2 linked regions of the Drosophila melanogaster genome follow. The protein of the gene in region 1 purifies or fractionates together with the protein of each later gene. This does not show direct contact. Each region holds a gene or a part of one and is shown in the gene's direction. Other genes may lie near its edges. The genes, in order: NT1 and Toll-6.

Evidence for each region.
Region 2: the proteins of NT1 (region 1) and Toll-6 purify together in Drosophila melanogaster (affinity purification with western blotting, with the first as the bait; one study listed by BioGRID). This does not show direct contact.

Annotation. Positions count from the first base shown.
Region 1 is NT_037436.4:4,502,043-4,511,271, reverse strand, and holds the start of NT1 (neurotrophin 1), read left to right. Parts: upstream 1-2,838; 5' UTR 2,839-3,211; exon of another isoform or gene 3,212-3,323; intron 3,324-5,369; 5' UTR 5,370-5,416; coding exon 5,417-5,872; intron 5,873-5,963; coding exon 5,964-6,868; coding exon of another isoform or gene 6,869-6,872; exon of another isoform or gene 6,873-6,987; intron 6,988-7,092; coding exon 7,093-7,224; intron 7,225-7,593; coding exon 7,594-7,740; intron 7,741-7,807; coding exon 7,808-9,229. Other genes in the region: Tie (Tie-like receptor tyrosine kinase), read left to right, coding at 1-36. UniProt on the Drosophila melanogaster protein: Neurotrophin which may function as a ligand for the Toll-related receptors Toll-7 and Tollo. Binds to Toll-7 and probably acts as its ligand in promoting motor axon targeting and neuronal survival in the central nervous system (CNS).
Region 2 is NT_037436.4:15,334,246-15,340,615, forward strand, and holds the start of Toll-6 (Toll-6), read left to right. Parts: upstream 1-2,446; 5' UTR 2,447-2,979; coding exon 2,980-6,370.

The DNA of each region.
Region 1 (9,229 bases):
AATCACCGGATCTCGGAGTTCGAGTGCGAAATATGACGCTGACTGAGCCAACCCCTACCCGGTCGAGGAGCCACCAACTAACTGTGCATCTCAACCAATCCATCCACAACTCATCCACCGCCCACACATCTCTATTTGCCCACTTGTAGATCTTTCGAAATTCTCCTTCCTTGCGACGTCCTTGTCGAGCAGTATTATTTGTATTTTATTGTTAATTTTCCATTTCGAATGCCCCGGAAGTTTCTTTCATTGTAAATATTTATTTGTTGAGACAACAAAATACGTTCTAGGCCTTACGATTAATGAATGGCGCTACCTATGCTTAGTTTAAAGTTCGTCACTTAGTTCTTCTAGTCTGTATCTAAAATCCCATCTTCGAGTTGAGCTATTTCCCCTGGATGTAGCCAAGATTTGACTGCACAAAAGGAAACTTTGAAACCCCGTCGTCAGTAATAAGAAAATAAATCGTTGATTTAGGCGTGCAGCGCATAGGATCTATGTAATTGTATTGAAATCTAGCTATAGAATTGTACAAATAAATTAATTAAAGACGAAATATAATTATGAATATTACACCATTTGAATGCTTTTTTTATTTTATATAAATTTAAATGGAAATTTATTGTAGTGGCAATACTGATTATGATGTATTATGTTAAGCTAACATGGTGAAAACAGACGGTAAGCATTTCTGTTAATGCCTGTCTGTTATCATGTTAACTTTTATTTAAGCTTTCAGCTTTTTCGTTAGGTCTGGCTTCTCTTTACTAGTTCCAAAAAACTGGTTCAAAATAACTGAGCGCGCAATTCAAAAGAAAAATATATATATTAAAACAGTACAAGCACTTAATTTGGTTTTTATCAATATTTTGATAATTTTATAATGTATTAAAAAATATATATAGATCTATTGGAAGATATTTGAACCAAATTAAGTTTTGGAGATATTATTTGCATTATGAAATAAAGTCTTAATCTGAAACTTATTTAAAGTTTTAATAGTCGTTTTTCCACAATCATTGAATTAATGATTATTCGTATATTTGTCGAACCATATTTTTATGTAAATCCCCTGCGGGTACTTTACAAATTTAAAAGTTGTTGAAGACAGATGACTAAATTAAAAACCGGAATTGTTTTGGCCGAAGAGTTTTCATCGGACAAGAATAAGAGGCGTAGGAATGCATAATTATAACTTATACGGCGTGTTTTTCGAATATTAAACTGAAATGCGAACTTAAAAGGCAAACCTGATTATTTTCAATGTCAATGTTTTTATGCACTCGACAAATATTCCAAGAGCAAGTGGACTATACAAGATGCAGGCTAAACAATCGCCAGATGAAATGACAAGACTGCGGTGCTAGGTAATATTTCACTACCGGACCGGAACACAAACATACAATAAACATAACAACAAACATAAAATAAAGAAATAAATATAAAAATAAAAATTTAATGTGCAAATTAGCCAAGTGCATCGCTATGTTTTATGGTCAGCAAGTTGGCCAGCCGGGATGAACGCCGGTAGCGGAAAATCTAGCGAATTGCAACGATATGCGAGTAAAAACCATGGATAACCGAGTGCAACCAAGTTGAGTGAGTGAGGACACTTTCGGCTATGGTTGCTTGATTGATGACGCTGCAATTAAACACACGGCCAGCGATGCGGTAATGTCGACAAATGGACATTAAGATAAAATGCGTAAAGGCTGAAAAACATTGCGTGCTCGTGAAAATGAAATGAAAATTCAGCTGGTACCGTTTTGCCGCTGTGGTTACCAATGAAAGTGTGAAGAAAATGCTCTTTAAGTGGTCATTGAAAGTGCCATAGAAGCCGGAGGGAGGATGCACTTGCCACTGCCCTGGAGCAGTTAAGCCGATAGTTTATGGACTCAACCAATGATGAAGAAATAACAATAAAGCGCAAAAAAGCAAAACGTCAAAATCACGAAAAGTCGTTATTAGACGCAAGTCAAAGTCATTGCACAGTGGGGTGCAAAACGATATAAGGTAATTAGCTAAAAATAGGAGCAATTTAATCAGAGTTTACGAACATAAAAAAAATTATTTCAATCCTAAATTTTCATTTTAGATTTTAATAATGCTAATCTTAATAAAATTAGGCATGTATTTGGCTATGATATATAATATATATTGAATAGTTTACAAGGATATCAACTTGTGTTGCTATGCATTAAAAGATAAAATAAAAATTTGCACGACTAAATTTTGTCCCACTGTTCGGTGGCTGAAAAGCAGGCGGAGGCGCTAACCACCTGCCCAAAGTTGCTACCGAGGGCTGTTGTTTTGAAAAACGAAAGTGCCGTGGCTGGAAATTAATTTTCTTTCCTTAACTTTAGGGGCTGACCCTCGCGGGCGGCCGTAACGCCTGATGAAGTGGTCAAAGTGGTTTTCGTGGCTAATGATGCCGATAGAAAGCAGTTTAGATACGCCGTTTAGCATGCTTCCGTTTTGGACAAATCGCTTCCTGACCCAGTGCCAAAACAAATGACTGAAGACACGAACTGGGCAGACGAGGCTGCTACATACAGTTTTAAATATAGGCAAACTTCCGCTCTAAACGTTAATTAATTTCACATGCATGGATATGCAAATGTAAACCAACTAACGGTTCAATGAACTTGCGAACTGCACAAGAAATGCAATTTGCCGATGCGCACTTTTTAATGCACAAGCACGCACCTAAGTTGGATTTACTGCAATGGGTCCAGAACGCCAACTGAGCCAAAGTCGCCGCAGCAGCAGCAGCAACAACAACCGCAGCAGCAGCAAAAGCGGTAGGTAAAGAAGCAGTAAGCAGCAGTTGAGGCAGCAAATCAGTTTGCGGCGAGTGTTGAAAGCGTTCAGACGTAGCAGGCGGAAAAAATAAAAAGCTGTCTCAAAAGCAAAACGAAGGTGAATGCCAAGCGGACAGACTCAAGAAGTGTGGCAAAGTAGAAATTTCTGTTAATTAAGGCGCGTGTGAAAAGTGTGAAAATCAGCGAAGGCGGTAGCCAATGAGCCTATAAAAGTGAAAATTATCTATGCAAAGTGGAGTGGAATGGAAACTCGGTTCTTGCGCCGCAACAGGAAATAAACAGTGATCAAGCTAAATACATATATCGAAGCTCGGAAGACTGGAGAAGGGAGTGGCTTGGAGAACAAAAAAAAAAAGAAGAACAGTGGACTGAAGACAAGCTGATCTGAGGTGATTTCTGAAGCTCTGCTTTAGCTTTATAAATTAATCATAAAAAACTAGAGCGCAAAGCGGAGAACAAGAAACAAAATCGAAATTGGAATTTTAAAATAGCATTTCATTTGTGAGTGTATTTTAGCCAAATATGTGAAATGGAAACAACTTTCTAAATGAACGAAAACAAAAAAGCGCTTACACCCAACAACAATAACAACAACGACGCACAAAAATTTGAATTCGTTTTATTCTTTACGCCCGAGGAAATTGTGTCAGTCCGCGCTGTTTAAGCGTGTGCGTGTGTGTTCGTTTATTGATATGAGTTGCCGCTTTTCGGCGGTCGTCAAGTTTGTGTCTTAAGTCTTTCGTTTAGGGCCCAGTAAGTTGGTTGGGAATTTATATGTCAGTTCGGATGGCCAAACCTATGCGATGAAGATATTGATCCCCGATCTGTCCAATACAGCTCGACAGCTGTTGGTGGTTAGTGGTTCAGCGGGTTCGCTTACTAGGTTAGTCGGTTAGCACCTAGTTGCTTCTGAGGCTGCTTAGTCTGCTTAGTAGGATTCTGCGGAGATTGTCAGTGCGACTTTCTTGCTTTGCGCTTCGCTTTCAGATGCTTCTCCTCTCATTTGCAGCGCTTTAATTTGTTTTCTTCAATTCGTCTCGTTTGTTTTTCTTTTGCCTTTTTTTTTATTTTTTGACTGGCCCCGTTTCGTTGTCTGCGCAACGCACGCAAATTACAAGTTAATTAAAGTGGCCAAAGAATTTGCCGAGAGATCGCATGCAAGCGGAGTGCAGCATCTTCAAATGCAACCCATTGCCATTCCCATTTTCGTCTGTAATTTGTATTTGCTTTCTTGCAAATGGCACCCACGCGAAATTACTGGGATGCCTGGGAACCGAAATAATGGTTGGCATATATGGGAAACGGCTGCGACTTATTGGCTTAATTTGATTTATCGTACTATGCCGCTTTCCCAGCGTCAAAAAAGTATCTATACGTAAATGCAAAGGCCACACAAAAACCAGAAGCGCCGCCATCTCTCTTCCCCTTTCGTAGGATCCATTAGCGGGGTCTTCTGCGCGCAGGTGTGCGAGATAAATTAAAGACATCGAGCCTGCCTGCATCTTGACAACGGCAGCATCCTCACGTTCGTGCATCGCAAACTGTGCGCATCATTTCATTCAATTATTTGCCTTGCCTTGGGTGCCCGAAGAGACGTGAATCGTTGGACAATCTTCTCTAGCCCACGTCCGCCATAAGTTTTCATGCTGGCCTTGGCTGCCTTTTCTAAACTGTCAACTGTTTGCCGCTGCTGCAGCCAAATTTTCACTTTTCATCTGCACAAAAGGTCATAACATCGATGCAGCTGGTATAGCCATTGCCTCGGAGGAGTTTTCCTGGCTTGGGTGTTGTTAGCATTCAGATTTGTCGGCTCCTTGGGGTAGTCGACTATATAAATAACGAACAAAATGAAAGAAAGACTTTCCTTTGTGCTGAACACATTTGCATAGACAAGAAGAGAAAACCAAGTTCATAGGGAAGAGGGAAGAGCTCTTTTAGCCTGACAAATGTCTTCATCATGATGATAGGAAGCTAAAGCGCAGTCAAATCAATCACCCGACCTTTGGATGGGATGCCATATTACCGCAAAACGGCCAGTTTAGTCAGGAGTCATAACCCCGTGCGCGAAAATACACATTAAAATGGTAAAAATAGCAACAACCAGAGCAGCTTCGGTGCTTCACGCCTTGTTGGGCAGTCAACTGAGATGACAGTGAAGATCATGATGACGACGCCGATGGCTGAGTGCGATTACCTAAAGCCGGAGACGACTGTGCTGCTGTAATAGCCTGGCCAAGATGACTGTTATGACTCTTGCTGCACGGTCGTAATAGTTTACGCTCATGTTAATGACTCTTGCTTTCGATGGAAAGCCAAAAATATGAATGGTTTTGAATTTGCCAAGACAAATTGAACCCGTCTAAGAATAAGCCATAAACTGTTTTTTTTTTTGAAAGCGTGCGAGTGTCGTCTGAGGTGCACTATAGTCATAAATAAACAATTAATAAGACGACATTCATCTGATATTTCGGAAAATTAAATCCAACTTAATAACCAGCAGTGACCGCCCCCTCGCTTTAACTTTCCTTTGCCTTTTGTCATTCGCAGACGACTGCAATTAAAAACAAAGCCAAGAAAATAAAGCCAGAGTGAAAATGAAAGCTGGCCGCGCCTTCGGCTGCCTTTTCTGGGCTCTGCTCTATTGTGTGCTCTATCTGGATCTGGTCAGTGGGAACTCCGCCGACGATGAGCTGATGGACTTTGATTTTGCGGATTCAAATGATGCTGCTATGGAGGACTGGCAGCTGGATGATCTGGAGGAGGCAAAAAAGGCGGAGCAGGCCGAAAAGAAGTTGGAGTCGAATATGCTGGACTTTAGCGTAGATCTGGATGAACCGGAGCCGGAGAAACAATTACCACCTTTCGATTGGCGAGAAAGGGTTTTAAGAAACGCTCTGGCCAAAGCCTTGGCGGATGAGGGATTGCGCCAGAAGTTCGCCGAAGTTTTGCCCATTTTAAGAATGCTATCTTCTCAACAGCGCCTGGCTCTTTCCGCTTTGATCTCGGCTCAGATGAATGCAAAAAAGGGGCACGAACTAAAGTTTGAACAGGTGTGTTTGAGAACGTTTTTAAAAAAATATTATTTTACATTACATTGCATTAAAAAAAAAAACTGGCTAATGATTTTTCTAATTTAATCAGGTTCGCATGATGTTTGGCAATGAAAAAAAGCTGCTTTTGCCCATAGTGTTCGACATCGCAAATCTCATAAAGAGCTCTACCCGCAAGTACATCAATCTGGGTTCTGATCTGGCTTCATCTGCCCTTTACCATACTCCCATCAATCGTCGTGAAGATGATTTGACTCCAGAAGAGTCCCAACAGGATGACCAATTGGGCACCATTGCTGTGGAAGTTGAGCCAAAAAAGGTCTCTACTGAGGAGGTGCAATTGGAGTCTCTAGAGGACTTCTTTGATGAGATGGGGTCAGAAGTGCTTGATCCTCAGATGATCAATGAGGCCCTGACAGGTGATCTTCATGATAACAAAACCAAGACTTTTAAACCAGAAAATCATGGTCAAAGAGTTCGACGATCGGCAAACGAGTTTGTTCACAAATTGACCCGATCCGTGCCTGCTTCTGTGACCGAGCAGCAACTTTTGGGTGGCATTGCTGGACGTACCATCAAGCTGAATACCACAGCTTTTCAACAGCCAAGTAGCCAGGAGGAGGAGAAGATGGCCTCCTCCAATGGTGGCCAGTCATACTCTGAGGTGGAGGATCTGGCTTTTGCTGGTCTTAATGGCACGGAAATCCCCCTGAGCGCTGATGAGCGATTAGATCTGCAAAGAAACAGCGCCGAGGAGACTGAGGAACCACTACCAAGTCCAGAGGAACTCATCGCTGGACCACGTTACCGACTGGGGAAAAGACCACTGCCTGGTCAAAAATCTGGATCTCCCATCAAACGAAAGAGAGTCACATCCTCCTTAAGGGGAAGACCGAAGACCGCCGCCAGTTCCCATAAACCCGTGGTTACACCACCCAACAAGAAATGCGAACGATTCACCAGCAACATGTGCATCCGAACCGACGACTATCCGCTGTAAGATTCCCGTAGCTAGTTGGTGAGCGGTACTCCCAGGGTCCTGGTTCCGGTCCATAGTCCTTAGCTCTAGTTTAGTCCGAATTTTAGCCATAATAAAACTTTAATTTATGAATCACACTTGCCCAACTTTCCCTTGCACTTATGCTTAGTTATTGGTTTTGGTTAGAGTTGTTGAATGAAGTCTACCGTTGGAAACTGCATATATTATTTTGAAATCTTAGTGAACAGATCATGGGCAGCATTAGGCGTCACAAAAACGCCATGTCCGCTCTATTGGCCGAGTTCTACGACAAGCCCAATAACAATCTGGAGTTTAGTGATGACTTCGATGACTTCAGCCTGAGCAAAAAGAGGTAAGTGAAAAAGATCATCAAAGATAGCAAATAACTGACAATAAATGTCATAACATAAGTTTTGACTATAAAAGTTTTAGGAAACGTGATCATTTCGAAATTGTATATTGAAATTGTCGTTGAATCATATGAGCATAAGCCACATAAAGTCATTTTCTTCACAAAGTTATGATAATAAAATAATATATTAGGTCACACAAATTTTATTACACTTTTATCAGTTATATTGGCATTATATTTCGTAAACCAATGAAAAAAAACAATGTGTAGGAATATACTTTTATATTAGTTTTGAAAAGACCAATTAAAAAGCCAAATGCTCGACGGTGAATTTTGGTAAAATATTTCATTTTTTTTTTCACATTAAAGGCGTGAAGACGAAGGCAGCGCAGGTGGGATGTGCCAGAGCGTGGTACGTTATGCCCGACCCCAGAAGGCCAAGTCAGCTTCAGGAGAATGGAAGTACATAGTGAACACTGGTCAGCACACGCAAACCTTAAGATTGGAAAAATGCAGGTGGGTGAAAATAATTTTTCACTTGAATAACATGGTATTAACTTGCAATCTTTGCATTTATAAACAGTAATCCCGTCGAGAGTTGTTCCTACTTGGCGCAGACTTACCGTTCCCACTGCTCGCAGGTGTACAACTATCATCGTCTATTAAGTTGGGACAAAGTGCGTGGTCTCCATGTGGATATTTTTAAGGTGCCCACCTGTTGCTCCTGCCAAGTGGATGGTTATCGCCAGCAGTTTCCACCGCTCTCCTCCATACAAGCCAAAGATTACTCTCCCCAGTCTCCTGTCATAAATCATAGTCATAATGGGTATAGTACCATAAACGAGGAGGATCTGGACTATGCCGAAGAGAGCGAGGAGGACGAACTGGGTCTTCGATATCCCTCTTTCAACAATCGGGAGACAAATGAACTGTATTCCAGCAGTAACAAGGTGCGCGTAAAGCTGCCTGGTATTAGCAGCAGTGTGGGTCCATATCTCAGTCCCCCTGATGATGACGAAGATCGCTATGGCGGATACAAGAGCTCCAGTTCCAGTTCCAAGAAGTATTACAGCCAGGTGAGCCGCCGGCGGCCGCAGCATTCAGAGGCGCGTCTGGACTTGGATTTGGCGCCAAGCGAGACGCATTCGGACCAAGAGGTAAACCTATTCGCTGGCCCACCAAACGGCGGTGCAGAGAAGCCGCGTATCCCGCTGAATCGCAAGCGTATTTATGCCTCCACCCACACAGCCCCCACCACCGCAACATCATCAGCATCATCATCTTCAGTACCATCGCCCGCAGGAGGAGCTGCCGTCCGCCTACGATTTCCACAGACCACAAGTCTACCAGCCCGAACGGGAACAGCTGCCCTTAGTCCGGGATCCGGCTTTGTCTCCGGTTTCAGCGCCAGTGCTGGCCTCTCCAGCGCCTCCTCTGCCCATGCCGCCCATGCCCATCAAGCAGGTGCCATCGCACCACCAGGCGCACCACCAACAGCCTCACCACCATCTTCACCAGTCAACCGGCAAGGTGGCAGCAAATCGCGACCCCGCTTCTATGCACCACCAGCCACCACGACGACCAACACAGCAGTGGTTACCGGGTCAGCGTCGTCCCTTTCGACCGAGCGCACCACTCAGTGGGAGCGGGATCAGTCGACGTCACTACCACAACCGCCGGCAGTCTATCCAGTGAGCTCGATCTTCCCCAGCGGTGGTGGCAGCGAGATGTCGGGCAAGAGGATTAACTATAACTACCACCCCATTATCGATTTCTTCGAGAAGAATCGCAAGGCGGAGGCGGCGGCTACAGTCAGTTCCATCGCAGAAGAGTCCCGCATAGTGGAGCAGCGTATATTCCCGCAGAATTCCCCCAAATCTCAACAGAATGGCATGGGCTTGGGCATGGAGACAATCACTGGAGTTTACCAACATCCCATTCCGGTGCCCAAAACGCACGAGAGGCGTATGGGTTACCGGGCACATAACGGTGGCGTGGGTGGTGC
Region 2 (6,370 bases), about 11 Mb from region 1:
AAAATTTTTTACAGTGCACCCGTAAAGCTGCTTGGGCGCCATAAAATATGCAACCTTTCTTTCTAGCTTTCCCCCTTGGCTTTGAGTGAAAGTAATCCGAAATGCTGTCATTAGGCCGAGTCCATAGCACAGAGCCACAATTAAGATTGACTTGAAAGCCGTCCAGGCGTCAGGCTAATACCACGACAAGGACATCTACTATAGCCGGCAAACCAATCCAATCTGCACACCGAGAGTTATGGCTTTGTCGAAAAGTGGACTCCGATTCAGCTCCGCTTTGCCCAGCCTCTGGCTTTATCTACTGGGTCATTTCTCATAATTTTCCACAGCTCGAGAATTATTGCAAAAGTTAATATTAATGACGTTGATGAAAATCTTGTCATTCGTGTTACCGAAAAAAAAAAAAAAACGAAGCGAAAGAAACCCACGTTATGGGGCACATAAATAAAGGAGCTGCGACCAGGACCACGGACAAAAGCCAGAAGCGTTCACCAAATTGATAACTACCGAAAAAAGAATACCAGGCCGGGGAAGAAATATTCCTTCTTGGTTGCATGTGCCACCACACAAAGGAAAGCGAGCCACAAAACCTCGTCCTTGCCGCCATTTACATTTGAAAGAGCCTGCGAAAGCCTGAAGGTGAGTAAAATAAGGGGTGCACTGAAGGAAAATCTTGTGAATAAAACAGTAATACATCCCTGTACAAGAGTAATTGGTAAAAGAAAAACATCATGTGCCTAAATAACTAATATTTTTAGCGAATATCTTACTGAGAAAATCTCTCAAATTAAGACTGAACTGCAATAGTTTTCTTCACTGTGCAGGAGGCTTATTAGACTTGGCTGCTGTTCGTGGCTCTGCTGCTGCTCCTGCTGGTGATATAATTTTAATAACTTACATAATATATTCTTTTGTGTGGCCAAGCCACATAATTGTTAGAAACATTAGGCAAATCATTACCCCAGCACGAAAAATGGGTGGGAGGCGTTCTGTTGGCTGACGCAATTTGGCAAAAATGTTTTTGTGTTTGCTTTTAGTGGCGACAAAAAGATCCTTAGCCACAACACCCATGGATATGGGAAAACTTTCAAGCCAGCTAAGAAATATTAGCCCAAGATAAAGTGTCCAGGGCAGCTGTTTTTCTTGGGAATTAGTCATGAAAGACCCGAAGTTTATCAAGGTTACCATGCCGTGGTAATCGCCATTGAATTTGTTGGCGGTGATCCATCAATATTTCTGCTTTCACCCAAATATTGAACAATCAAAATACATACATGCCGGAGGTTAACGAAATAAGGAACAATAGACAGTCTTCTTTGTAAATTAACCCTTGGAAAATTTCCTTGATAGATTGATTTCTTTTTCGAGATACCAGGACTACTTTAGGTAAGATTATAATACATTCATCAAAATCATAGGCGCGTGAAGCAAAAATTGTATATTTATTATTTGAAGTAGTAAAATGTTCCAAGTGTAATTAATCTCAAAGAAATATTAATTTAAGTCCAAAAGACAATAACATAATTCAAAATTTAAGTAACTACAAAAATCTGAATTTGCAGTGTGCGATTTAAGATATCCTATAAAAGGAGCTTTTTATAAAAACTCTGCTCACGAATTTTCATATTTGCTATTTCCAGCATCTCCCAATCGAGTCTAACCAAGTCCTTGCATAACTTTCCGGATTTGAGAACGAGGAATCCACAGAAATCCCCACACATCCAAAGCCCAACGAAACCCCATAATGCTGGCCCATAATCATTATCATTAACCTGATGGGGAAGACAGTTTTTTGCTGCTTTGCTGGGCGAAAAAGAAGTCATGAAACCACAGGAATTGTTACATGAGGCGCAAACAAAACAGTTTAATTAAAATTATTATTGTAATTTAATGGAATGTGAGGAATTATTATTTTTATACGGGTCTGGGCCCACGAAACAGGAGCAAAAAGCAGCCGAAGGACCTTCTCGGCACACCGACACACACATGCACATGGCATAAAAATAAATTACGTTTGTATGAAGATTGGCGCTGGCCCATGCACATCATATATTTTCATTATCAAAACAGAGACAGCAGAGAAGTCGCCGGTTGGCGGCGGGGGGTGCGGAGCTCTATCTCCGATTCGGCGGCAAAAAAATAAAGGATATACGAAATACGACGAAAAAAGACAGAGAAAATCAAAAGGAAAACACGAACGAACGCCAGCTGTTCGATGCGATTAGATGGAGAGAAAGAAAAACATTTTCCAGCATCCGTCGAGCCAGAGCGAATTTCCCTTTAGTCATACTCTCCGAAAACTCTCAGCATTTCCCGCCCGTGCAGAGCCTGTCGGCTGCTCTTCGTCTGTTTTCCAGCCCCCTTCGGCTCGCGTTCGGCTTTTCGGATTTTCGGGGTTTCGAGTTCGTGGACGACTCTCCATTTAAAAGAGAAGTTGCGCACGTTGCGGCAGTCAGTCGAAAATCAGCCAACGTGCGCGTTACATTACGAACCGGAAAATATCGACGCTGCTGCACCGCTCAAGTCCCAGAAAAAGTGGGTTCAGTTCAGCCAAATGAAAAAGTGATAATAGAAGTCGAGCCCGCAGCTAAATTGAAATTCATCAAAGGTTCCTATAACGCGACGTGTAATAAACAAAAACTTCGAAGCGAGTAATTCAAAGCGCCGAAACGAATAAAAAAGAAAAATTTAAATATAAAGAGGATAGAAAAGGCCAAGTGCTAGAAAATGTGCCGGGTGTAAGAGAGAAGAAAACACGGAGAGCATAATTAACTAAAGAATCGGGGGAAAATAAAGAAAATCTGGCTTGGAGTAGAGGGAGCACAGAAGCCGAAAATATGTGCGCAGACTTTTCTTTGGCCAGCCAGTGGAATTGATTTTCTTTTCGTTTCTCCCCAAGACCCCCGCTTGTACCGTCTTTCCCCCCTCCGCAAACCCATTTTCCGGTGCCTCCACGCAGCTAAACCGTGAATCGCCAAAATGATCTACTATATGCTACTCATACTGCCCGTGGTCCTGGCCCAGGATCAGCAGCACACCACGGAATCGCTGTCCACCAAGCACCACCAGCAGCAGCAGCTGTCGCACTCGAATGCGATAATGGGTGAGGCTGGGGTCTCCAACTCGCAGCTAATGCAGCCCTCGACTCCGGCGCGAACCCTGCGACCCTTGACCGCGGGCGCGGGTGGTGACCCTTCGCTGTATGACGCCCCCGACGACTGTCACTTCATGCCAGCAGCGGGTCTGGATCAGCCGGAAATAGCCTTAACGTGCAACCTGCGCACGGTGAACAGCGAGTTTGACACAACCAATTTCAGTGTTATACCCGCCGAGCACACGATTGCCCTGCACATACTGTGCAATGACGAAATCATGGCCAAGAGTCGCCTGGAGGCGCAATCTTTCGCCCATCTGGTTAGGCTCCAGCAGCTGTCCATCCAGTATTGCAAGCTGGGGCGACTGGGTCGCCAGGTTCTGGATGGTCTGGAGCAGCTGAGGAACCTGACGCTCCGGACGCACAACATCCTGTGGCCAGCGCTGAATTTCGAGATAGAAGCGGATGCCTTCTCGGTCACTCGGAGGTTGGAGAGACTGGACCTCAGTTCGAACAACATCTGGTCCCTGCCGGATAACATATTCTGCACCCTGTCCGAGTTGTCTGCCCTGAACATGAGCGAGAATCGCCTGCAGGACGTCAACGAGCTGGGCTTCAGGGATCGCAGCAAGGAGCCAACCAATGGTTCCACCGAATCCACCTCCACCACCGAATCGGCCAAAAAGAGCAGTAGCTCAAGCACCAGTTGTTCGCTGGACCTGGAGTACCTGGATGTGAGCCACAATGATTTCGTCGTGCTGCCAGCAAATGGATTTGGCACTCTGAGGAGGCTGCGAGTCCTTTCGGTCAACAACAATGGCATCTCCATGATTGCGGACAAGGCTCTCAGTGGACTGAAGAACCTGCAGATCCTGAACCTGAGCTCCAACAAAATCGTGGCCTTGCCCACAGAACTCTTCGCTGAGCAAGCCAAGATTATCCAAGAGGTGTACCTGCAGAATAATTCCATAAGTGTGCTGAATCCGCAGCTCTTCTCGAATCTGGACCAGCTGCAGGCCCTGGACCTGTCCATGAACCAGATAACCTCCACCTGGATCGATAAGAACACCTTTGTGGGTCTGATTCGTCTGGTTCTGCTTAATTTGTCGCACAACAAGTTGACCAAACTGGAGCCAGAGATCTTCAGCGACTTGTACACCCTGCAGATTCTTAATCTGCGTCACAATCAGCTGGAGAACATCGCAGCCGACACTTTTGCCCCGATGAATAATCTGCACACGCTGCTGCTGTCGCACAACAAACTGAAGTATCTGGATGCATATGCTCTGAACGGATTGTATGTACTGTCGCTGCTCTCGCTGGACAATAATGCGCTGATTGGCGTGCATCCGGATGCCTTCCGGAACTGCAGTGCCCTGCAGGACCTCAACTTGAATGGCAATCAGCTGAAGACAGTTCCGCTGGCCCTGAGGAATATGCGCCATTTGAGAACCGTGGATCTGGGCGAGAACATGATTACCGTTATGGAGGATAGTGCGTTTAAAGGTCTGGGAAATCTCTATGGTCTCCGCTTGATTGGCAACTACCTGGAGAATATTACGATGCACACCTTCAGGGATCTGCCTAATTTGCAAATCCTGAATCTCGCCAGAAACCGCATAGCAGTTGTGGAACCGGGGGCCTTTGAGATGACCTCGAGCATTCAAGCTGTGCGTTTGGATGGCAATGAGCTGAATGACATCAATGGCCTCTTCAGCAACATGCCCTCCCTTCTGTGGCTGAATATATCCGATAATCGTTTGGAATCCTTTGATTATGGACATGTGCCATCCACCCTGCAGTGGCTGGACCTCCATAAGAATCGGTTGAGTTCCTTATCAAATCGTTTTGGTTTGGATAGTGAGCTAAAACTACAAACTCTCGATGTGAGCTTTAATCAACTTCAGCGCATTGGACCCAGTTCCATACCAAACTCTATCGAACTGCTGTTCCTGAACGACAACCTGATAACCACCGTTGATCCAGATACCTTTATGCACAAAACCAATCTGACCCGGGTGGATCTCTATGCGAACCAAATCACAACGCTGGACATCAAGTCCTTGAGGATTCTGCCAGTTTGGGAACATCGAGCTCTGCCAGAGTTCTATATTGGTGGAAATCCCTTCACCTGCGATTGTAACATTGATTGGCTGCAGAAGATTAACCATATAACATCGAGGCAATATCCAAGGATTATGGATCTGGAGACCATATACTGCAAGTTGCTGAACAACAGGGAGAGGGCCTATATTCCCCTGATCGAAGCTGAACCCAAGCACTTTTTGTGCACCTACAAGACCCATTGCTTCGCCGTTTGCCATTGCTGTGAGTTCGATGCTTGTGATTGCGAGATGACCTGCCCCACGAATTGCACGTGCTTCCATGACCAAACCTGGTCCACAAATATTGTGGAGTGCTCGGGCGCAGCTTATTCTGAGATGCCGAGACGTGTGCCCATGGATACCTCTGAGTTGTATATCGATGGCAACAACTTTGTTGAATTGGCGGGACATTCGTTCCTTGGTCGCAAGAACTTGGCTGTTCTCTATGCGAACAACTCGAACGTGGCCCACATATACAACACCACTTTCAGTGGCCTTAAACGCCTGTTGATCCTGCACTTGGAGGATAATCATATAATCAGTCTGGAGGGCAACGAGTTCCACAATCTGGAGAACCTGAGGGAGCTATATCTGCAATCAAACAAAATAGCCAGCATCGCCAATGGGAGTTTCCAGATGCTGAGGAAACTGGAGGTCCTGCGATTGGATGGCAATCGATTGATGCACTTCGAGGTGTGGCAACTAAGTGCCAATCCCTACCTGGTGGAGATCAGCTTGGCCGACAACCAGTGGAGCTGTGAGTGTGGTTACCTGGCCAGGTTCAGAAACTACCTGGGTCAGAGCTCGGAGAAGATCATAGATGCCTCCAGGGTGAGCTGCATCTACAACAATGCTACGAGTGTTCTGAGGGAGAAGAACGGTACCAAGTGCACTTTGCGAGATGGTGTAGCCCACTATATGCACACCAACGAGATCGAGGGACTGCTGCCCCTGCTCCTGGTGGCCACCTGTGCCTTTGTGGCCTTTTTCGGTCTGATTTTCGGACTCTTCTGCTATCGCCATGAGCTGAAGATATGGGCCCACTCCACCAACTGTCTAATGAACTTCTGCTACAAGTCACCCCGATTCGTTGACCAGCTGGACAAAGAGCGTCCCAATGATGCCTACTTCGCCTACAGCCTGCAGGACGAGCACTTCGTCAACCAGATCC